Linked DNA regions of Arabidopsis thaliana. The protein of the gene in region 1 interacts with the protein of each later gene in a pairwise test. Each region holds a gene or a part of one and is shown in the gene's direction. Other genes may lie near its edges.

What was found.
Region 2: the proteins of PGR5 (region 1) and PGR5-LIKE A interact in a two-hybrid assay, tested with the Arabidopsis thaliana proteins (one study listed by BioGRID).
Region 3: the proteins of PGR5 (region 1) and petB interact in a protein complementation assay, tested with the Arabidopsis thaliana proteins (one study listed by BioGRID).

What each region holds. Positions count from the first base shown.
Region 1 is NC_003071.7:2,077,292-2,087,550, reverse strand, and holds PGR5 (proton gradient regulation 5), read left to right. Parts: upstream 1-5,691; 5' UTR 5,692-5,863; coding exon 5,864-6,160; intron 6,161-6,242; coding exon 6,243-6,347; 3' UTR 6,348-6,904; downstream 6,905-10,259. Other genes in the region: ATG8D (Ubiquitin-like superfamily protein), read left to right, coding at 2,776-2,812, 3,146-3,252, 3,336-3,360, 3,615-3,670, 3,743-3,795, 4,021-4,139, 4,243-4,340. UniProt on the Arabidopsis thaliana protein: Critical for growth under fluctuating-light conditions. Involved in the regulation of the cyclic electron flow (CEF) around Photosystem I. Essential for the reduction of PGRL1A by ferredoxin and for photoprotection.
Region 2 is NC_003075.7:12,005,200-12,012,160, forward strand, and holds PGR5-LIKE A (PGR5-LIKE A), read left to right. Parts: upstream 1-1,786; 5' UTR 1,787-1,957; coding exon 1,958-2,156; intron 2,157-2,582; coding exon 2,583-2,695; intron 2,696-2,793; coding exon 2,794-2,890; intron 2,891-2,982; coding exon 2,983-3,083; intron 3,084-3,178; coding exon 3,179-3,235; intron 3,236-3,319; coding exon 3,320-3,396; intron 3,397-3,489; coding exon 3,490-3,652; intron 3,653-3,731; coding exon 3,732-3,829; coding exon of another isoform or gene 3,830-3,833; exon of another isoform or gene 3,834-3,906; coding exon 3,907-3,976; 3' UTR 3,977-3,986; intron 3,987-4,058; 3' UTR 4,059-4,337; downstream 4,338-6,961. Other genes in the region: LDOX (leucoanthocyanidin dioxygenase), read right to left, coding at 1-279, 364-860; AT4G22900 (transmembrane protein, putative (DUF1191)), read left to right, coding at 5,022-6,053. UniProt on the Arabidopsis thaliana protein: Ferredoxin-plastoquinone reductase involved in cyclic electron flow (CEF) around photosystem I. The homodimer is probably not involved in CEF.
Region 3 is NC_000932.1:72,336-77,834, forward strand, and holds petB (cytochrome b6), read left to right. Parts: upstream 1-2,505; coding exon 2,506-2,511; intron 2,512-3,315; coding exon 3,316-3,957; downstream 3,958-5,499. Other genes in the region: psbB (photosystem II 47 kDa protein), read left to right, coding at 36-1,562; psbT (photosystem II protein T), read left to right, coding at 1,747-1,848; psbN (photosystem II protein N), read right to left, coding at 1,914-2,045; psbH (photosystem II protein H), read left to right, coding at 2,150-2,371; petD (cytochrome b6/f complex subunit IV), read left to right, coding at 4,146-4,153, 4,863-5,337. UniProt on the Arabidopsis thaliana protein: Component of the cytochrome b6-f complex, which mediates electron transfer between photosystem II (PSII) and photosystem I (PSI), cyclic electron flow around PSI, and state transitions.

The sequences.
Region 1 (10,259 bases):
TTAAGACTTCTTTGCTTGAAGATCTGGCGATTTCTGATGATTTTGGAGTTTCCTAAGGATTCTTACCAAATCGACAATGACCAACAACGATATATGCTTCACATGTCCATGCGTCTTAACCTTGCTTCATAGTCTCACATGTGGCTTTGCGTTGGAATCTTTAAATCTTACTTCTACAAAGGGTTTAGTTTCCTAGATTGGACTTTCTTTAAGTTGGGCTTCTTCTTATAAGTTAAACTTGTTGGTTCTTTGGTTATGCAACATGGATGCTTGTTTAGATAATCTAATATTGTAAAATTTGATGTGTTTGTCGAGTCATGTAAGTGAAAGATTCCACTTTTGCAACAAAAGTTTTAAATAAAGTGCAACATTTATGAGAAAGAAAAAAAAAAGGTTTTATGCAAAAGGACTCTCCAAATGATTTTTTTTGCTAGACAAACATCCATCTCAAAAAAATACAGGTCAATATCACAGTCTCAAAAGTCACCTACAATATAGTCCTTCCGTATATCGATGACGTAACAGTCGATAACTCCGTTGGAAGACATAAGAGTTTTGTTAAACAAACCCTCCATATATTTTTTTATTTTTGCAAGACAAACCTCAATGTCAAATAAATACAATATTACAATCTCAAAGTCACCCGCGATATAGTCATTTTGTATAGCGATGACATGACAATCGATAATTCCGTTAAAAGCATAATGGATATCAAAATAGACCTTTGTTTTGCTTTTGTTGAAAACCACATGATTGTGTGAGTTTCGTTATTAGAAATAGAATTGAGGGAAATAATTAGAGTTCTTTCATATTATATCTTCTTCTTTATTCATATGAAGTTTGGAGATTCATTTTTCTTTTCCATTTCGATCTTCATCCATTTCGATGTATGTGTTTGTTGAATTGTGTTCCACATGATCAAAAATCTTGGTTTGATTTTAAGTGATTCATTTACAGTTTTGAAGATCCCAATGAAAAATAAATATGAATCTCCAAATTTTCAGATAAATAAAAATTCAATAATTTTGGTGTATATTGTTTTATGGGTAATATTAGTAGATAACCAAATAAAACATACAAATTAAGAAACTAGCAGAGAGAAAGTTTTTTGTTACAAAATAACCATGGATCCCACGTTGTCGGAAGAAAGGAAATAACAAATCTACCCTTCATTTGTTGTAAGATGAACAGTAAACGAAATACATCCGTGTAATTTTTCAAAATAGCATGTAACATTAAAATTTCACATGTTATATTTAGTTTAAAAACATGCTATTTCAAAAAACGTTATGAATTTTTAAGAAAAAATATTCTTATGAAATTCTTTTACGTGAACAGAATCTTAAAAAAAAAAAATTATATGTGATTTTAATAAAAACCATGTATTACTAAAAAATAGGAATATATTTTTAAAGAAATCACGTGTGATCTTAATAAAAAACGTGTATTACTACAAAATATCATGATAAAAAGAGATATTAAACTGAATAGAATGTTTTTTCCAAAAAATACCAGGTGCTTTTTAATAAATACTATGTAATAAGAGAAAATAACAAGATAAAAAGAGGATATTATGTTATCGCATGTATTTCGGAAAAATAACATGTTACAAAGGACATTTACGTAATTACACGTGTTTTCCAACATGTTTCCGACAAGATACTGTGATTCAAGGTTAGTTTGTACATTCTTTTCAAATCTATAGTCATTTATTATAAATACTCTTGTTTTATTGTATGTTTTCTAATGTAGTTATTGGTTGTCATGTCATCACTACACAAAAAGATAATATTATGAGTGATTTTTAAGATTGTAGTGTTGACATTCATTTATTTGATATGAAGATTTTTTTTTACAAAAAAAGTTTACATAGAAATTTTTTACACTAAATCTTTATGTTTTTAATAGAGTTATCGTCTATATCAAACCTACATTTATTTGACATAATAGTTTATCTTATAAAAAATGACTTCATCTGTTCTTTTTTATTTGATTGGTTAGGAAAAACACACATATTAAGTTAAACATATTAAAATTGTTAAATGTATTATTTTTTGTATTTTACAATTTTTTATAACTTTAAATCAATAATATTCAATTATTTTTATCAAAGTTTATAATTAATTAATAATAACTAATAAATATTTCATAAAAAATCTAAAAATTAATCTTTTAAAAACTTATTTTTTTCAAAAAACAGAGAGTGTTAAATAGATAGATTTTTTTACACAAAACCCAAAAAAAAAAACTAAGACCTTGAATGTTTTTTAGATTTTGTAAGAGTTTTTGATTTTTGTTTTTTAAAAACTTATTTTAATACCAATCAAGATTTTAAAATTTTGGTTTCCCTACAATTTAGTAAAACTATTTTATTGTAGTTTTCCATTCATATTTAAGTTTTTTAGTTTTTCTAAAGTTTAGAAAATCTAGTTTTTACTCAATCAACGTTATTTTTTCAAAAACCAAAAACCAATTTTTTAGGGGTTTTTAAAACAAAAATATAATAACAAAAATCTAAAATCTATAGACTAAAATCTAAACTCAAAAACTGAATCGAAAATATCCATTCAGGCCTAATACATCCAATATTTCAATACTTCTTAACTCTTAACTCTTAAGTTTTAAGTAATTAAATATATAAAGATCTGTTGCCAAGCGTACCCTTTTTATAAACATTCCAAATAACTATCTCCATTCTTTGGAGTTACCCAATTTCGACGTTGAACACAAACCCTTGCTTCTCTCTTCTCTGTTTCTCTCTCGCAGCGAAAAATCATGGCGATTAGCTCCTTCAAGCATGAACATCCTCTTGGTTCGTTTTCGATTTAAACCTAATCGATCAATCTTGTTGATCTTTGTGTATCTCTCTCTCATCGTAGGGATTTTTTTAGCGACTAGGTTTAAAAATTCTCAAAATCTGGTTACGTCTATTTCAATTGCTTCTGAGTTTGCATGAATTGATCCTTGATTCTGATTTCCAACGATTTCAATTTTGATTGCGTTAACAGTTATAAGAATCCGCAAAATTATATGTTGAATGATTTTATCGCCGATTCTGTATTGTTTCGTGAAGTAGTATGCATAATCTTTGATTGAAACAAGTTTTGTGTTTATTGATGCAAATACATTATGATCTTTATTCAAGTGGAGATGAATATTGATGTTGAAGTTACTAAGTTTCACTTGTCTCTCTTGTGTTCCGTGGTCGAGTCTCTGTTGTTCACGGGGCGTAGAATCGCTATTTCAGTCCCTGTACATAATCTTTGATTGAAACATGTTCTGATTTGGTGCTGCTTTTGCTGAGGAAGCAAAATACATTATAGTCTCTGTTCAAGTGGAATCCTAAGATATTATCACTGAGTATGTGTTGTTCACGAGGCTTAGAATCACTATTTTAGTCCCTGGAGCCTGGAGTAGTAGTGTACATAATCTTTGATTGAAACATGTTTTGATTTTGTTCTACTTTTGCTGAGGAAGCAAAGTACATTATAGTCTCTGTTCAAGTGGAATCCTAAGATATTATCGCTGAGTCTGTGTTGTTTTACGTGGGTTAGAGGATGTTGATGTGTTGAAAATTGATGGATCTGTGTTTTTTTTGCTCTTGAATGTTACAGAAAAGAGACAAGCTGAAGCAGCACGTATCAGGGAGAAGTATCCAGACAGAATACCAGTATGAATTTTGGCTATTTTCATTTAAGAAAATTGCATAGCTTTTGCCTTATTCTCTCTGAAATTGTTGCAGGTCATTGTCGAAAGAGCCGAGAAGAGTGATGTCCCGGATATTGATAGGAAAAAGTAAGTCCTTACTTCTCTTGAGGAGTTGGATATAATCTCTTTCTTCTCACTGAAAGTGGCTTCAAGCCCTTTTCTGAGAACCCTACACTCCCTCACATTTAGTAATGAATTGGTTAATTGGATAGAAATAATTTTTTTTTATTGAAAGATCTGGAGGAATTTCTGGTTTTCATGGTTTGTTGCTTAGGGATAATGAATTGGCTGACTTACTATTCAAAACTTTAGGTACTTGGTCCCAGCTGATTTGACTGTTGGCCAGTTTGTTTATGTTGTACGGAAGCGGATCAAGCTCAGTCCCGAGAAAGCCATCTTCATTTTTGTCAAGAACATTCTACCACCAACTGGTTAGTTTCAAACACGTTCCTTAATCATATACTTTTCCAGTTCAAGGAATCATATCTTTTTCTCAGTTGAGCTAATAGTAGTAGTGTTATCCTTTTATTGCAGCGGCAATAATGTCTGCAATTTATGAAGAGCACAAAGACGAAGACGGGTTTCTATACATGAGTTACAGTGGTGAGAACACGTTCGGGATCTTCTTCTAATGCGCTTGGAATATGTGGATGCATCAGATTATCAATGTACAGTCTGTCTATTTCTCTGCTTGTCTCTAGTTTTCATGACATTGGACGAAGCTTTTGAAACTTGCATGCTATGTTATTAACATGATAAGGTCTTCCGTTCATGGTGTTAATTTGGCTTTATGCTACACTTAATTTCAAACTTAGTCGCTATATATAGTTGAGGTCACTTGGTGTCCTCCTTGAATATTGGCCCGGCCTATTTCACTAGTCGTTGAACCGTTACGATTTCTATCTTCTCAAAGTTAGCTCGACCGTCAAATCTCTAAGCTCTTGCAATCTCTGCTTCTAAGGAACACAAAACAGAGATAACTTTAGCTATAAATATTTAGATTTCAAAAGCAACTTGATTTAGGTAAATTTGTGCACACTCTAGAATAGATTATCATCTGTTACAGATTATTACTGTACAATCCAGCAAAAACTAGGCCTGGGATTTCGGATTAACCCAATGACCGAACTGAACAAACCGTTTTTTTGGTTCTGATAACCGACTATGAAGGGAAGGCTAAACCGATCGGCGAAATTATAATTGAAGTTCGGTTCTCGGTTCGGCAGACATAACCGATCAGTTTTCTCGGTTAATAGATACTATAAATATAAAGATAAAAACATTAGATCTAATCTTTTTAGCTTCTTCTCCGTTTCCTTTTGATCCTCATCCATGGCTATTTAGTCAATTCTCTCTATCTGCATGTGGTTTTCACTATGGTAGCACGTCGGGGCATATTTCGTTACGGAGATATCGTCATCCCTCGCTATCACCGTCACCGTCACAGACGTAGATCTGCTGATTATGAAGAGGGTAGCGGCACCAAGATACCATCAACCCTAATTTTTAATAGGTTTGGATTTTTAGTTATTTTGGGTTTAAGTTTGTTTTTCGTTTTGGCCCAATTATTGGTTTGTAATTATAAAATTTTGTTTATCTTCGCCCATTCTATAATTTTTGTTTTGACCCATTATCTTGATTTTGGACTTATTCGGTATAAACTAACCGAACTAAAAAAAAAATCGGTTTAGTTCAGAGTTGATTTTGAATCCTATAACCAAACCGACCCGAACCAAATCTTTATTCGGTTTAATTTGACAAAATTTTAAAGAACCGAAAAAACCGATTAAACCAAACCGAACCGATTACCCGAATAAACCGAATGCCCAGGCCAAAAACAACTGAAAATAAAAAATAAAAAATGAGATAGGAGAATATTTAATCCGACGGTGGAGAAATGTTGATATAATAAAACGTGATACAGAGGATCATAAACCCGCAACATGAGAAACGTAATAAGTTAAGTCAAAAAAACGAAAAAGCCAGAATCATATTTGTGGCTCTGGTTTCTCCATCCAAACAAAAACAACACCCAAACCTTGTCCACACCAAAATGTTAAACTCAAAATCCAACCACACACACACAATTTCTCTTCCTCTCTACCATTAACATCGATCAGAAAGACCGAGAGAGAGAGGGAGAAGCTGATTGATTATGGCTGCTGCTTCGATTTCTGCAATAGGATGTAATCAAACTTTGATAGGAACTTCCTTCTATGGAGGATGGGGAAGTTCCATCTCCGGAGAAGATTACCAAACCATGCTCTCCAAGACAGTTGCGCCACCGCAACAAGCCAGAGTCTCAAGGAAAGCAATCAGAGCAGTTCCAATGATGAAGAATGTCAATGAAGGCAAAGGCTTATTTGCACCTCTAGTTGTTGTCACACGCAACCTAGTAGGCAAGAAGAGGTTTAATCAGCTCAGAGGAAAAGCCATTGCCTTACACTCTCAGGTTTGCTTGTCTTATAATCATTCTCTTAAGAACTAGTCAAAGAAGCAAAGTTTTGTGGAACTGGGTTCTTTTGTTCTTTCAGGTGATCACTGAGTTTTGCAAATCGATTGGAGCAGATGCAAAACAGAGACAAGGGCTTATCAGGCTTGCTAAGAAGAATGGAGAGAGGCTTGGTTTCCTTGCTTAGGTCTTAAAAAGAACAAATCTTTCTCTCTGCTTGTGTCTGATATATACACTCACAACTCCTCTTGTTGTTCTTGTCTAGATGTATTTTGTCCAAACCTATAATCTTGATTTTTGTTACATTGCCTTTGAGGGTTACTCAAACACACATAACTGCTGCCATTCTCATCTGAAAAGTTGTTCAATAAGGTCTTAGCTGAACTAGTTTTCTCAGTCACATAGAGATACAAAATATGTAATATTGCCACTCTTTCAACAGATTAAAAAGCCTAATCATAACTCTCAAACAATTAAGGGATTGAAAAAGACTGTAAGTTTTGCTTTCTATTGAAGCATCCCTAAGATCGGAGAGGTATTGAGAGCTGCAGTTTTTTAACACCGTGAGCTTACACTGATTACTTCAAGACCCAAGTAAGATTGCATAATATGTCAATAAAGTTGTCATCGTGGAAACTTGATATATATGGAACTTTACCTAGACATTCTTTAACACAAACTCTGTTTCTGCTAGCTAAGCATTCGTTCCCAAAGGTTTCCAGGAGGTTGACTTGTTGCCAGTTGCCTTAACCTTGATTAGGTTGAAAATTTGGGTACGAGTAATGTTACAGAACCACACGTGGGAGGTCACACGTGCGAAATCAAATGGAAGAAGGAATTAATAAGAGGCTGACGCGTGTCGACTGAGGAGTGGCAGACTCAAACATGCCGTTAGGCCCTTCTATATGAGCAATATTCAGCTCATCTTTCTCTTTTATCAATTAATCTGTAAAATCTAGAATCTCTGAGAACTTTTCTAAGCTAGATATCTCACATCGAGACTAGCAGATCCTTGGGTGTTTTATGAACATCGATTGCTCATTGTAATCAGGGATTTATTCTTAATCGGAATTGATTTTACAGTGAACCGGAAAGTTATTTGTATCAAAGGTATCAAAGCTCTGTCTTTCCTTGGAGTCATGGTTCATACACGTTTTCATGATGAGTCGAAGGAGAAGGGAAAAGAGGTGGAAGGTTTGGATCCGATGGAGGAGAGGATGGCGAGGCTGGAGGCGATGATGGAAGCTCATAGCAAAGCGACGATGAAGAATCTGGCTGATATGATGACTGCGATGAGCAGATCTACAGCTCAGAAACAGCCGGATGAGCAGTCCAGTGGTGAGCGGAGTCTACCTCGATCATCAACTTCAACGGATGATAGAGTGGTTTTTCAGGATGTCCGATGAGAAAATCGACCAGAGCAGGATCAACGACGAGACAATCGTCACGAACAGGATCAGCGAAGGGAAAATCGTCATGATCAGGTTCGATTTGAAAACCCAAACAATTATGGTAACTTGACGCGTTTGGGTAAGATTGATTTGCCTCGTTTTGATGGATCTGGAATCAAAGAATGGTTGTTCAAGGTAGAGGAGTTCTTTGGTATTGATTATACCCATGCAGATCTGAAGGTGAAGATGGCTGCTATCCATTTCGATGGTCATGCTGCAACATGGCATCACTCTTTTATGCAGTCGGGTGTAGGTTTGGAGGTGTTGTATGATTGGCCTGGTTATGTTCAGTAGTTGAGAGAGCGGTTTGATGATGACTGTGATGATCCCATGGCTGAGTTGAAGAAGCTAAAGGAAACAGATGGCATTGTTGATTATCATAAGAAGTTTGAGTTGATTAAGATTCGGGTTAACCTTTCTGAAGAATATTTGGTGAGTGTTTATTTGGCAGGTTTGCGAATGGACACTCAGATGCATGTCAGGATGTTTCAACCACAAACGGTGCGTCACTGTTTTCGTTTGGGAAGGCTGTATGAGAAGGCACATCCTAAGCGTCTTTCTTCAACACCTTGGCAACCTAAGACAAGTGGAGCAGCTGGTACTTTGAAGTCACCTAGAGAGGCTTCTAATACACCTGACAAATATTACAACAAGGAGAATCAATACACTAAACCTGAGTTTAAACCAAATAATGCTAGGAAGCTGTCTCAACAGGAAATGAGTGAGAGGAGAACGAAGGGCTTATGTTATTTCTGTGATGAGAAGTTCAGTCCTGAACATTATTTGGTGCACAAAAAGCAACAACTCTTTTGTATGGAAGTGGATGAAGAGTTTGAAGATGCGTTAGAGGAATTGACTGGTGAAGAAGAGAAGAATATGCCTCAGATTTCAGTGAATGCGGTTTCAGGTATCTCAGGATACAAGACTATGCGGGTAAAAGGAGCTTATGGGAAAAAGACCTTGTTTATATTGGTTGATTCAGGTTCTACTCATAACTTCATTGATTCGAAGGTGGCGGCTAAGTTGGGTTGTCAGATTCAGGATGCAGGGTTGGCTCGGGTCTCAGTGGCTGATGGTAGGAAGTTGAAAGTGGATGGGAAGATAGTGGATTTCTCTTGGAAGTTACAGACTACACAGTTTCACTCAGATATTTTGCTGATTCCATTACAAGGAGTGGATATGGTTTTGGGAGTTCAGTGGTTGGAAACTTTGGGAAGAATTTCTTGGGACTTTAAGCAGTTGGATATGAAGTTCAGATATGGTAATCAGAAAGTGTGGCTGCATGGTATTAAGGAAGGGTCTGTGAGAGAGGTCAAGGCACAAAAACTACATAAACTTCAAGAAGAAGAGGTTCAGTTGGCTATGTTATATGTAAGGAAGTGGTTGAATCTGAAGAAGATGATGATACAGAACATCAGGTTTTGGGTTCTATTAATGCCTTAACAAAAGATATGGGAGAGGAGTCATTTGTAGAGAAGGTTGTGACAGAATTTCCTGATATTTTTGTAGAGCCTACAGATTTACCTCCTTTTAGAGCACCACATGATCACAAGATAGAATTATTGGAGGACTCTAATCCGGTGAATCAAAGACCATACCGTTATGTTGTTCATCAGAAGAATGAAATCGATAAAATTGTGGACGATATGTTGGCGAGTGGGACGATACAAGCGAGTTCAAGTCCATATGCTTCTCCGGTGGTCTTGGTTAAGAAGAAGGATGGCACGTGGAGGCTTTGTGTAGATTACAGAGAGCTCAATGGAATGACTGTGAAGGACAGGTTTCCTATACCATTAATTGAGGATTTGATGGATGAATTAGGTGGCTCCAATGTGTATTCTAAGATTGACTTAAGAGCTGGCTACCACCAAGTTCGCATGGATCCTCTTGATATACACAAGACTGCTTTTAAAACGCATAATGGTCATTACGAGTATTTGGTAATGCCATTTGGCCTTACTAATGCCCCGGCTTCCTTTCAAAGTCTAATGAACTCCTTTTTCAAACCATTCTTAAGAAAGTTTGTTTTGGTGTTCTTTGACGATATCTTAATATACAGTACTTCAATGGAAGAACACAAGAAGCATTTGGAAGCTGTGTTTGAGGTTATGAGAGTGCATCACTTGTTTGCCAAGATGAGTAAATGCGCATTTGCAGTTCCAAGAGTGGAGTACTTAGGCCATTTCATAAGTGGGGAGGGAATTGCCACGGATCCTGCTAAGATCAAGGCAGTTCAGGATTGGCCGGTTCCTGTTAATCTCAAGCAGCTTTGTGGTTTTTTGGGATTGACTGGTTATTATAGGCGGTTTGTAAGGAACTATGGAACTATTGCAAGTCCTCTCCATGCGTTAACTAAAACAGATTCCTTCGTGTGGACTACTGAAGTTCAGCTTGCTTTTCAAAACCTTAAGGACACATGTGCAACACTCCGGTGTTAGCTCTACCTCAATTTGATAAGCAGTTCGTAGTAGAAATGGATGCGTGTGGTCATGGCATTGGTGCAGTGTTAATGCAAGAAGGACACCCATTGGCTTTCATCAGTAGGCAGTTGAAAGGGAAACAATTGCATCTGTCCATTTATGAAAAAGAGTTATTGGCAGTGATCTTTGTTGTGAGGAAGTGGAGGCATTACTTGATTTCTAGCCACT
Region 2 (6,961 bases), on another chromosome or scaffold:
GTGACCCATTTGCCCTCGTAGAAAAGCTGCAAACCCGGAACCATGTTGTGTAGAATGAAAGTTAAAGCGCTTACATCGGTGTGAGCTTCCACACCGAGTGCTAGCTCAGGCTGAGGACATTTTGGATAGTAATTTATCTTCATTTGTAGAAGAAGCTCTTCTAAACCACCAACTTCTTTCTCTAGACGGTCAGGCTCTAAACCTAGACCGACAGAGAGAGCCTTGAAGACTTTAGTCGCTAGCAAACGAAGACACTTCGCGTACTCACTCGTTGCTTCTCTACAATCATCGAAAAACGTTAATAAAAGATTCTAAAACCAAAACAAGATTTTGTTTTCTTTAGTAAAACAATTCAAAGCTTACATGTAATCACTTGGTGTCTTAGGCCAAATTGATAGATCTCTCTTCTCTTCAGGATACGCAAGATGAAAGAAGTAATCTTCCCATTCCAATTGTCCACTCGCGTTGTTAGCCAATTTACTTCCATAGCCTTGAATCTTTCCAGTGGCTTGATCGTTTGCATACTTCTCCTTCTCTTCCACAGACAAACTGAAAAACTCTTCTCCGGCTTTCTTGACACGCTCCATTAGATCAGCTGGTATTCCATGGTTGATCAAATGCATCACTCCCCAATCCAAAGATGCCTTTTTCAGCTCCTCAATACAATTCTCACGGATCTTTTCATCGTCTGACTCGATGTTCTTTAGATCGATTGTGGGAACTTGAGGACCGTCTTCTTTCTTCTCTTCTAGGAAAACATCGTTGATGCTCTCGAGCTCTTCTTTTGGACGAATATATTCTTTTGGAATCGATATGATTCCGCTTTTTGCTAGACTCTCAACTCTTTCAACCGCAACCATCTTCTTTAGTCTTCTGTTTAAAGCTAAAACAGAGCAGAAAACAGAGTAAGAAGTAAATAAACTTAAAAACAGGGGAAAAAACAGAGTAATAAAAAAAATGGATTTGTTTTGTTTTTCTTCTTACACTCTTTTTTGTAATTGGTTGCAAGTAAATGAAATGTGCAAAGACTCTTTCTTATATAGCAAAGTTTTTACTATACTTTTAGTTAGAAGAGTTTGTTACCGAACTAAGAGACATTGTAGAGCTACCGGTGGTTAGTGCTATTGTTGTGAGGTAAGTGCGTGACTCACTTCACGGTCAACGGGAGAGGATGGTTGGGTTGACTGATTGGTCAAAAAGATTACTACTATATGGGCTTGGGTCTAGACTCCCAGAAAAGGCCCAATAGAATTAAACCCATAATCGCTATCAACGTGTTCTTCGTCGCGTGCTTTAAGCGTGTCTCCACGTGTTCACCTCTACTAGTTCTTCTACTAACCACATTTTCTTTTTGTAGTTTGGAAATCAATTACTAAAAAAACAATTTGACTGGTTTTCAATTTCAAATAGACAATTGTATGTGGATCAATAATTCTTTTGGAAAACTAAATTATTTATCTTGTTTGTTTTTTAAAATTTGGAACTCATTTTTATTTTAATGGTTTGTACTAAAGTATATTATCAGCTGAATTCAACTACACATACTACATGTCAAATTTTTTTAAAAAATCACCATGTTTCGAAAAAAAAATCTTCTTACTCATCTCACAGTATTTTTTTTATTGTATAATCAAAGCCTAAAATTATGTCTTTTCTCTATTTTAAGTTTTTGTTTTGTTTAAGAAAACCGGATATTTAATGCTGACGTGGATATTCTGATTATGAGGATGAGAGGAAGGAAAAAATAAGAGAAATCTGCCTAGGAATTTATCTCCACACTTCTCTTATCTCCTAATTTCTTCCCTCCAAATTTATAATAAAACCAAAAAAAAAAAAAAAAAAAAAAATCAGAAGAAACCTGAGAAGCTCACAGTAAACACATCTTCAACCACAGGTTCATACTTACTGAAAAAAACAGAGGAAAAAAAGGAGCTCCCTTTTCTATCTCTAAGGGAAAATGGGTAGCAAGATGTTGTTTAGTTTGACAAGTCCTCGACTTTTCTCCGCCGTTTCTCGCAAACCTTCCTCTTCTTTCTCTCCTTCTCCTCCGTCGCCGTCTTCGAGGACTCAATGGACTCAGCTCAGCCCTGGAAAATCGATTTCTTTGAGAAGAAGAGTCTTCTTGTTGCCTGCTAAAGCCACAACAGAGCAATCAGGTCTTGATTTGGCCACTTTAGTCTCGATTTCGAACACTCCGCCTTAGTTTTCTGTTTACAAAGCCATTTGGATTCGAATTTGTTCACAATTGGGTTTCCAAAGTTTGAGCCTTTTGAAATTTAGGATATATTATTTTAATTCAACGTCTCTAGCTCTGAAAATTTATGTTTTTAAGTCACTAACTTGTAGTATCCAGACTCGAATCCTGTTAAAGTTCAATTCTTTGAAGGGTTTGATTGATTCAATGGCTATAACTTTGGTATAGTATATTTGTTTGTATTGGACTTTGTTGACTATTTAGTGGTTAACTCTGTACTAAAGTTTTGCAATGTCAGAAGTTGTGTAACTATTAGGTTGCATAAGTAAGGTATCAACTTTAGATTTGCTATGAAGTTCTCAATTACAGTCTTTTTGTCTTCCTTAAGGTCCAGTAGGAGGAGACAACGTCGATAGCAATGTTTTGCCCTATTGTAGCATCAACAAGGCTGAGAAGAAAACAATTGGTGAAATGGAACAAGAGTTTCTCCAAGCGTTGCAAGTAAACGCTACAATAAACCATTTTTTTTATAGTTGCCAAAACATGATATATATCTAATCTTCAAGAGCCTGAGAATTGCTTTTGTCTTTTGATTACAGTCTTTCTATTATGATGGCAAAGCGATCATGTCTAATGAAGAGTTTGATAACCTTAAAGAAGAGTTAATGTGGGAAGGAAGCAGTGTTGTGATGCTAAGTAATCATCAACTATGGGACTAAATTTCATTTCTTTGTTTTGGTTTCTTTGGTGCAAAGTCCTAAATCTTTTATTGGTAATATGAAACACAGGTTCCGATGAACAAAGATTCTTGGAAGCTTCCATGGCTTATGTTTCTGGAAATCCAATCTTGAATGATGAAGAATATGATAAGCTCAAACTCAAACTAAAGGTTTCCATTCACTTTTTATGCTTCAGTGAAAATAGACATACCCTTATAAGATTGGTTTAAGCTTCAAGTTTATGATTCTTTCTGTATCCATGTAGATTGATGGTAGCGACATTGTGAGCGAGGGTCCAAGATGCAGTCTCCGTAGTAAAAAGGTAAATAGAACATAAGATTCATTGTTAATATTAGATTATAGATAGATACTAATTTTCAGTCTTTATGAACTTCCTCAAATGTAGGTGTATAGTGATCTCGCTGTAGATTATTTCAAAATGTTATTGTTGAATGTTCCAGCAACCGTTGTTGCTCTCGGACTGTGAGTCTCTATACCGAGTTTTCTATTCAAACATCCAAATCATATGAAACCCATATTTCGTCTTTGTTTATTCATTCAATTCTGTACTTGCAGCTTTTTCTTCCTGGACGACATTACAGGTTTTGAGATCACATACATCATGGAGCTTCCAGAACCATACAGTTTCATATTCACTTGGTTCGCTGCTGTGCCTGTGATTGTATATCTGGCTTTATCAATCACCAAATTGATCATCAAGGACTTCTTGATCTTGAAGGTAAGAACCATTACCATTACTCAAGATTGCAAAAGAAAAACATCAAAGAGCCTTTTTATGAATGTTTCTTGTTTCACAGGGTCCTTGTCCGAATTGTGGAACGGAAAACACCTCCTTCTTTGGAACAATTCTGTCAATCTCCAGCGGCGGCAAAACCAACACTGTCAAATGCACCAAGTAAGATTTTACCTTCGAATATGGTTTCAAAAGTGTAACATATTACTATCTGATTCTTTGATTATCTCTGTTTTTAGCTGCGGAACCGCGATGGTGTATGACTCGGGTTCTAGGTTGATCACATTGCCAGAAGGAAGCCAAGCTTAAACCCTGTGAGGTACACATCTCATTTATAGTAAATTCTTTAGATCACATGGAAGTCAGAGATAGTAAAATTTGCTTTTTCCAGCTAGATGAAGATGGGAAAAGAAGAATGGGTTTTGTCAGAAGCAAAATAGATTCGAAGTTAAATGTATATGTAAGATCTTCCATGTTAGCTCTCTCTCCTTCACATGTTTTCTGATTTGTAAGTATTGTGTGTAAGCAATAAGAGATATATAATATGAGCACTTCTTCATCTACCTTTGTAGATAAAAATATAATCATTACTATAGTTAAATCAAATTGTATACATGAAAGACCAAATTCGAATTTAAAATGTTTATTTCGATAACTTTACAATTTCAAATTAACTTTGGTACATTTCTAATACTATTATGATTTGTATCTAAAACGACCTTAAAAAATGATTTTAAGTCAAGAAAACGAAAAGCATACACGATTATATACATTTGCTTACCGAGGCAAGAAACTATGAGAAATGCATGGTGTTAATTTGGATGTAAATTTTATGAAATGGTGTGGAACATAAAGAGATTGATTGAGAAGAGAACTAAAGTCAAGAACATATATAATGAAAGGACAGACAAAGGTAACAACATTGCACAAAAGAGGATAAAGTCACACAAACATTAGCACGCCAATGTCTCTCTCTTTTTTAGTCTAAAAATTGATTACAATTTTTTTTTATGAATTTTAATTAACACAGAAAGTGTAATCATGATCATCATCTTCCCATGCCTCTATCATCATTGATCCAATTTTCTCCTCCACTACTGAACCTATTAATTGCTTTTACGTTGATTTAAAAATTTTAAAACCTCTACGTTAGAACGGTCATATGCTTATTTAACAATTAGATCATGTCTTCTATAAAGGTAAAAGAGAAATCTGACAAATGAAGTGTAAGTGTTTATAATGTTTGTGTCCCAAAACACACATCCCCCACAAAAGTAAAAACACCATCAAAACTTTCTTTCTTTCCTCTTATCTTCACTTCCTCTTGTAAACCCTAGATTCTCTTGTTCCTCTTATGGATTCATTCTCTTTTTGTATCATCATCATGATACTTCTCTTATCATTCCACCAATCTAAGTCTCAATTGATTCAATCTACACATCTTCTTGATCTCATGATCAGAGATTACACCATTAGAAACTTTAAGCTCAATTTCAACACAGGCGTCACTCAGAAAATCTATCTCCCTTCTAATTTCTCTGGTATCGATATTGACACGGTCAAGTTAAGGTGTGGGAGTTTGAGAAGATATGGCGCAAAAATTGGAGAGTTTCACATCGGTTCAGGCCTTACGGTGGAGCCATGTCCGGAGAGAGTCATGCTAATTAGACAAAACTTTGGTTCGAATTGGTCTTCAATCTACTCTACTGGTTATAACTTATCCGGTTACAATTACAAGCTCGTGTCACCGGTTCTTGGTTTGTTGGCTTATAATGCTAACCCTGACGGTGTGGCCAGGAACCCTTACGAGGTTAATGTTGTAGGTACCGATCAAAACCCAATCTTAATCGATTTCTTGATCAACAAGGCAACTAATAACACTAGCCCTAACCCTACGAAGAAGAACTCGTCAGTCTTGTGTGCGTGTTTTACAAGCAACAGTAACACAACGTTTAGCGAGCAAGTCTCGCCGTATGTGTGTAAAGGTACAAGACAAGGGCATTACGCTCTCGTGATGAAGACAGAAGCTCAAAAAGATGATCATGAAGGTGGTGGTAGTAGTGGTGGAGTGGTGGCATCATCGACGGAGGTGAATGGTGGCAACGGAGGAGGAAAGTTGAGCCGTTGGAAAGTGGCGGTGGGGAGTGTGATAGGGTCAGGGATTGGAGCAATTCTGCTGGGAATGTTAGTGGTGGCGATGTTGGTGAAGGGGAAGAAGAAAGCAATGAGAGAAGAAATGGAGAGAAGAGCTTATGAAGAAGAAGCTCTTCAGGTGTCAATGGTGGGTCATGTTAGAGCTCCTACTGCTCCTGGAACTAGAACTCTTCCTAGAATTTCCGATGATAGGTATAATAAAAACACTCATTTGAATAGTAATTATCCATAATTATCATTTGTTTTCTGATTTTTCTTCTTTTTGTGTTAATTGAGTATCTTAAGATAAATAGTTTTGTAGAAATAGTTTCAATGGCTTCAAAATGAAATTTCATCCATTTTTTTTTAGTTTTTGGTTAAACGGCTATAATCGTTAGTTTTCTTTTTACTAAAAGTAAAGACTTTTACAGAATGGAGAATTTTCTCTTTTTTATTTTCTATAAAATGGTCAGTGAAATTATGCAAAAAAATTTAAAAAAATCAGAGAGTCCCCCCAACTTTCATACTGTAAGCTTTATTTTTTTCTTTTCATTTTGATTTATTAATCTCTTTTTCCAACTTTTTAATTAAATGTATATTTCTGATTTAGTGAAGAAAATATACTTTTATCAGTATTGTGACTAGTTAACAGAATTTTCCACCTACACATCAACAAGCATCTTCTCCAGTAAGCTATTGTTAATGCGAAGTACGGAAATATAAACAAATCACCACCTTCATTGCAACTTGCAATCAATTTTTACTCATTTTAGTAAGGTTTTGTTTTTCTTTTTCTTTCAGTTTTTTGTGATTTAGTTTAAGAAAAAATAAAATAAAATATAGATATAATTTGATCAATTTCTTATAGTTGACAGAAAAAAAATCTTATAACTATTGTCTTTTGTTATATTTGATTGGATTATTTTTTGAATATTTTTTTGGTAAATTTTCTTTTATATCTTTGATATTTAAGTTTTGGTTTATACTTTGTATCTCAATTCTGTAAGATATGAAACTAAGATTTTTTTTTTTCTAAGATTTTAGACTTTAGCTTATTAAGAAAATTAAAATTAATTTCTTATAACTGTATAAGTGTATTTTTCTAAAATTTCATTGAACCATTTTTGACTAGTATATATCTTTTTGGAAAAATTTCTAGAA
Region 3 (5,499 bases), on another chromosome or scaffold:
TAGTGTCTATTTTTCGTTGATAAAGGGGTATTTCCATGGGTTTGCCTTGGTATCGTGTTCATACTGTTGTATTGAATGATCCCGGTCGTTTACTTGCTGTTCATATAATGCATACTGCTCTAGTTGCTGGTTGGGCTGGTTCGATGGCTCTATATGAATTAGCAGTTTTTGATCCCTCCGACCCCGTTCTTGATCCAATGTGGAGACAAGGTATGTTCGTTATACCTTTCATGACTCGTTTAGGAATAACCAATTCTTGGGGCGGTTGGAATATTACAGGGGGGACTATAACGAATCCGGGTCTTTGGAGTTACGAAGGGGTAGCCGGAGCACATATAGTGTTTTCTGGTTTGTGCTTCTTGGCAGCTATTTGGCATTGGGTATATTGGGATCTAGAAATTTTTTGTGATGAACGTACAGGAAAACCTTCTTTGGATTTGCCCAAGATTTTTGGAATTCATTTATTTCTTTCAGGAGTGGCTTGCTTCGGTTTTGGCGCATTTCATGTAACAGGATTATATGGTCCTGGAATATGGGTATCCGACCCTTATGGACTAACCGGAAAGGTACAACCCGTAAACCCGGCGTGGGGCGTGGAGGGTTTTGACCCTTTTGTTCCGGGAGGAATAGCCTCTCATCATATTGCAGCAGGGACGTTGGGTATATTAGCGGGCCTATTCCATCTTAGTGTTCGTCCGCCTCAACGTCTATACAAAGGATTACGTATGGGCAATATTGAAACCGTCCTTTCCAGTAGTATTGCTGCTGTCTTTTTTGCAGCTTTTGTTGTTGCTGGAACTATGTGGTATGGTTCTGCAACTACTCCCATCGAATTATTTGGTCCTACTCGTTATCAATGGGATCAGGGATACTTTCAACAAGAAATATATCGAAGAGTTAGTGCTGGACTGGCTGAAAATCAAAGTTTATCAGAAGCTTGGGCGAAAATTCCTGAAAAATTAGCTTTTTATGATTATATTGGTAATAATCCAGCAAAAGGGGGGTTATTCCGAGCGGGTTCAATGGACAATGGGGATGGAATAGCTGTTGGATGGTTAGGCCACCCCGTCTTTAGAAATAAAGAAGGGCGTGAACTTTTTGTACGCCGCATGCCTACTTTTTTTGAAACTTTTCCGGTAGTTTTGGTAGACGGAGACGGAATTGTTAGAGCTGACGTCCCGTTTAGAAGGGCAGAATCAAAATATAGTGTCGAACAAGTAGGTGTAACTGTTGAGTTTTATGGTGGTGAACTCAATGGAGTGAGTTATAGTGATCCCGCAACTGTGAAAAAATATGCTAGACGGGCTCAATTGGGTGAGATTTTTGAATTAGATCGTGCGACTTTGAAATCTGATGGTGTTTTTCGTAGCAGCCCAAGAGGTTGGTTTACGTTTGGACATGCTTCGTTTGCTCTACTTTTCTTCTTTGGACACATTTGGCATGGTGCTAGAACCCTCTTCAGAGATGTTTTTGCTGGTATTGATCCAGATTTGGATGCTCAAGTGGAATTCGGGGCATTCCAAAAACTTGGAGATCCAACTACAAAACGACAAGCAGTCTGATGCAACATTGCTTTTTTTCTTCTAGTTTCTGTTTGTTATTTTATTTAATAGGTAGGGTACTGTAGGAATCTTTATTTAAATCGCTGCCGTTTCTTTGACTCTTTTTCTTTCTTTATCCTCCCAAGTAAACAAAACGTAAACAAAACAGGTATGAAAGCTATAATTGTAAACCACGATCAAATTTATGGAAGCATTGGTTTATACATTTCTCTTAGTATCCACTTTAGGGATAATTTTTTTCGCTATTTTTTTTCGGGAACCACCTAAAATTTCAACTAAAAAATGAAATAATTTTTCATTATCTTCATTAACGTAATCAGCCTCCAAATATTTGGAGGCTGATTACGTTAACTAGTCCCCGTGTTCCTCGAATGGATCTCTTAGTTGTTGAGAGGGTTGCCCAAAGGCAGTATATAGAGCATACCCAGTAAAACTTACAAGTAACCCAGATATAAAGATGGCGACTAGGGTTGCTGTTTCCATTATTATAGAATTGAAAGACCACACCGGATCTATGCTAAGATCATTTATTTACAACGGAATGGTATACAAAGTCAACAGATCGTAATGAATACAAAATAAGATTTATGGCTACACAAACTGTTGAAGATAGTTCTAGATCTGGTCCAAGAAGCACTACTGTAGGGAAGTTATTGAAACCATTGAATTCCGAATATGGTAAAGTAGCTCCCGGATGGGGAACGACCCCTTTGATGGGTGTTGCAATGGCTCTATTTGCGGTATTCCTATCTATTATTTTGGAGATTTATAATTCTTCTGTTCTACTGGATGGAATTTCAGTGAATTAGACTGAGAAGAATCTTGAAGTTCTAGCTTTTAGCTCGATACAAAAAAGTAAAGTATGCAGGTCTAACAATTTTAGCCTATTCTCCTTTGGTAGTTCGACCGCGAAATTTTTTTCTGCATTGTATATTTCCGGAATATGAGTGTGTGACTTGTTAGAATTGACCCTATGGATAGTACAGAGAATGGGGTCTGTCATCTTTATCAAGATGGTTTTACTTCGTCGGATATTCATTCGAGTATCTGGAGCACGAAATAGATCAAATAGATCACAAAGTATTCGAACTATGATTCATACTTAAATACTCAAACCTCGTAGCCGGACTTCTTTCCGTTCTATCTTATAAACTTTAATAAATCAAAAAAATTTTCTGCTTTTAAACTCTTATTTGGATCAAAGGACAAACGCTTCTTTGTATTTTATGTTTTTAGTCATTATAGCTTTTTTTTTATTGAATAAGTGATGATCCAATGGTTCTCACTCAGTGAACTTTGGACTTTGAAGGTTTCATTAAATTATCGTGGTTCTCGTATGAATCTGAGGTTTCAATTGATTAGTTAAGTAGGGTCTTAACAAGAGAATTCCTATCAATAATAAAGAAAACAAGAAGAAATCCCTGTCCCCGTTCCATACAAATACCAAATAAAAAAAGACAATAAAGATAGGTAATCTAGAAGATTCAAGAGGCCTGTAACGATCAACACAACATAAAGACGAATGAGCTTACTTGATTTTTTGGCATTTAACCACAAAGACGAGCTTTCGCATTTTGACTCTTTCATATCTTTAAATAATAAAAAATAATATTGAATGAGAGACAAGTTTAAAACTTTATATTCCATATCTGTTTCAATCAGTATTTGGGTCTTTTTTTGTTTGAGCTGTACGAGATGAAATTCTCATATACAGTTCTTGGAGGGGGAGTAACCTTGGTTTACCTATCTCAATAAAGTTTATGATTGGTTCGAAGAACGTCTTGAGATTCAGGCGATTGCAGATGATATAACTAGTAAATATGTTCCTCCGCATGTCAACATATTTTATTGTCTAGGCGGAATTACCCTTACTTGTTTTTTAGTACAAGTAGCTACGGGATTTGCTATGACTTTTTATTACCGTCCAACCGTTACTGAAGCTTTTGCTTCTGTTCAATATATAATGACTGAAGCTAACTTTGGTTGGTTAATCCGATCAGTTCATCGATGGTCGGCAAGTATGATGGTCCTAATGATGATCCTGCACGTATTTCGTGTATACCTCACCGGTGGTTTTAAAAAACCTCGCGAATTAACTTGGGTTACTGGTGTGGTTCTGGGTGTATTGACCGCATCTTTTGGTGTAACAGGTTATTCTTTACCTTGGGATCAAATTGGTTATTGGGCGGTCAAAATTGTAACAGGTGTACCTGACGCTATTCCGGTAATAGGATCACCTCTTGTAGAATTATTACGCGGAAGTGCTAGTGTTGGACAATCCACTTTGACTCGTTTTTATAGTTTACACACTTTTGTATTACCTCTTCTTACGGCCGTCTTTATGTTAATGCATTTCCTAATGATACGTAAGCAAGGTATTTCTGGTCCCTTATAAATAATATAGATTCTAGGTATTTGTACTTACTTATTACTTGGTGAAGGAACGATAGTATTTTATTGCTATAAATATGGATTATTAAAAAAATAAAACATGTATTTGGATATTTCCCTTCAACTCCACAATATTTTATTATTTTTTTGACATAAAAAGTTGAAGGGAATTCTATGAAGAGATAATGGATTATGGGAGTGTGTGACTTGAACTATTGATCGGGCCGTGCAGAAATATTACTTTATCTGCTACATTGGAATTCACAACCAAATGTGTCTTTGTTCCAACCACTGTGTAAGCCCCATACAGGGGATAGGCTGGTTCACTTGAAGAGAATCTTTTCTATGATCGTACCCGACGCTGTCGTGGATGAGTGGGCTCCGTAAAATCCAGTAGATTAAGGGATGGAACAAAATCCTGATTATGTTTTTAGTTATTTTGGACTAAAAAAAAAAAAGAAAATAATTATTAATAGTAATAGTATGTAAATGCATTCATTTTCTCTGCATCGACTCGATTTATGATACTATCGGAGTGAATACAGGATCTAATGAAGAGTAGAGGGTAGACTCCATTAGTAACAAGTAAATCCTTTGTATTTGAAAAATCTCGATATAATTGTTGAGATTAAGGACGAATTTATAAGGTATGAGACGACCCAGAAAGCACTTAATCATGATAAACTTTTTAAGCTTACGTGGGTGTTGAGCATTTACCTGTAAGAATGGAATTTCTTGAATCTTTAGTTGCAATAACTTTGGAATCGGATAATTAATTTTTACATATTAAATTATATTTTTTGTATGTATTCATTTAGTTTGGTTAATTCTTGCTCGAGCCGGATGATAAAAAATTATCATGTCCGGTTCCCTCGGGGGATGGATCCATAAGAATTCACCTATCCCAATAACAAAAAAACCAGATTTGAATGATCCTGTATTACGAGCTAAATTAGCTAAAGGTATGGGTCACAATTATTACGGGGAACCCGCATGGCCCAACGACCTTTTATATATTTTTCCAGTAGTTATTCTTGGTACCATTGCCTGTAACGTAGGCTTAGCGGTTTTAGAACCATCAATGATTGGTGAACCTGCGGATCCTTTTGCAACTCCTTTGGAAATATTACCTGAATGGTATTTCTTTCCTGTATTTCAAATACTTCGTACAGTGCCTAACAAATTATTGGGTGTTCTTTTAATGGTTTCAGTACCAGCGGGATTATTAACCGTACCCTTTTTGGAAAATGTTAATAAGTTTCAAAATCCATTTCGTCGTCCAGTAGCGACAACCGTCTTTTTGATTGGCACCGCGGCGGCCCTGTGGTTAGGTATTGGAGCAACATTACCGATTGATAAATCTCTAACTTTAGGTCTTTTTTAATTCAATTTATTCAATTGTAAAATAAACGACGTGGGTATCTAGGGAGGTATCTAGGGAGTAGTCATTTCCAAATGAATTCTCCCTAGATACATATCTAATTCTAATTAATTTAATTAATTAATTAAAATGGGTTCGACTGGAAAATAGAAATTACGTTGAAAT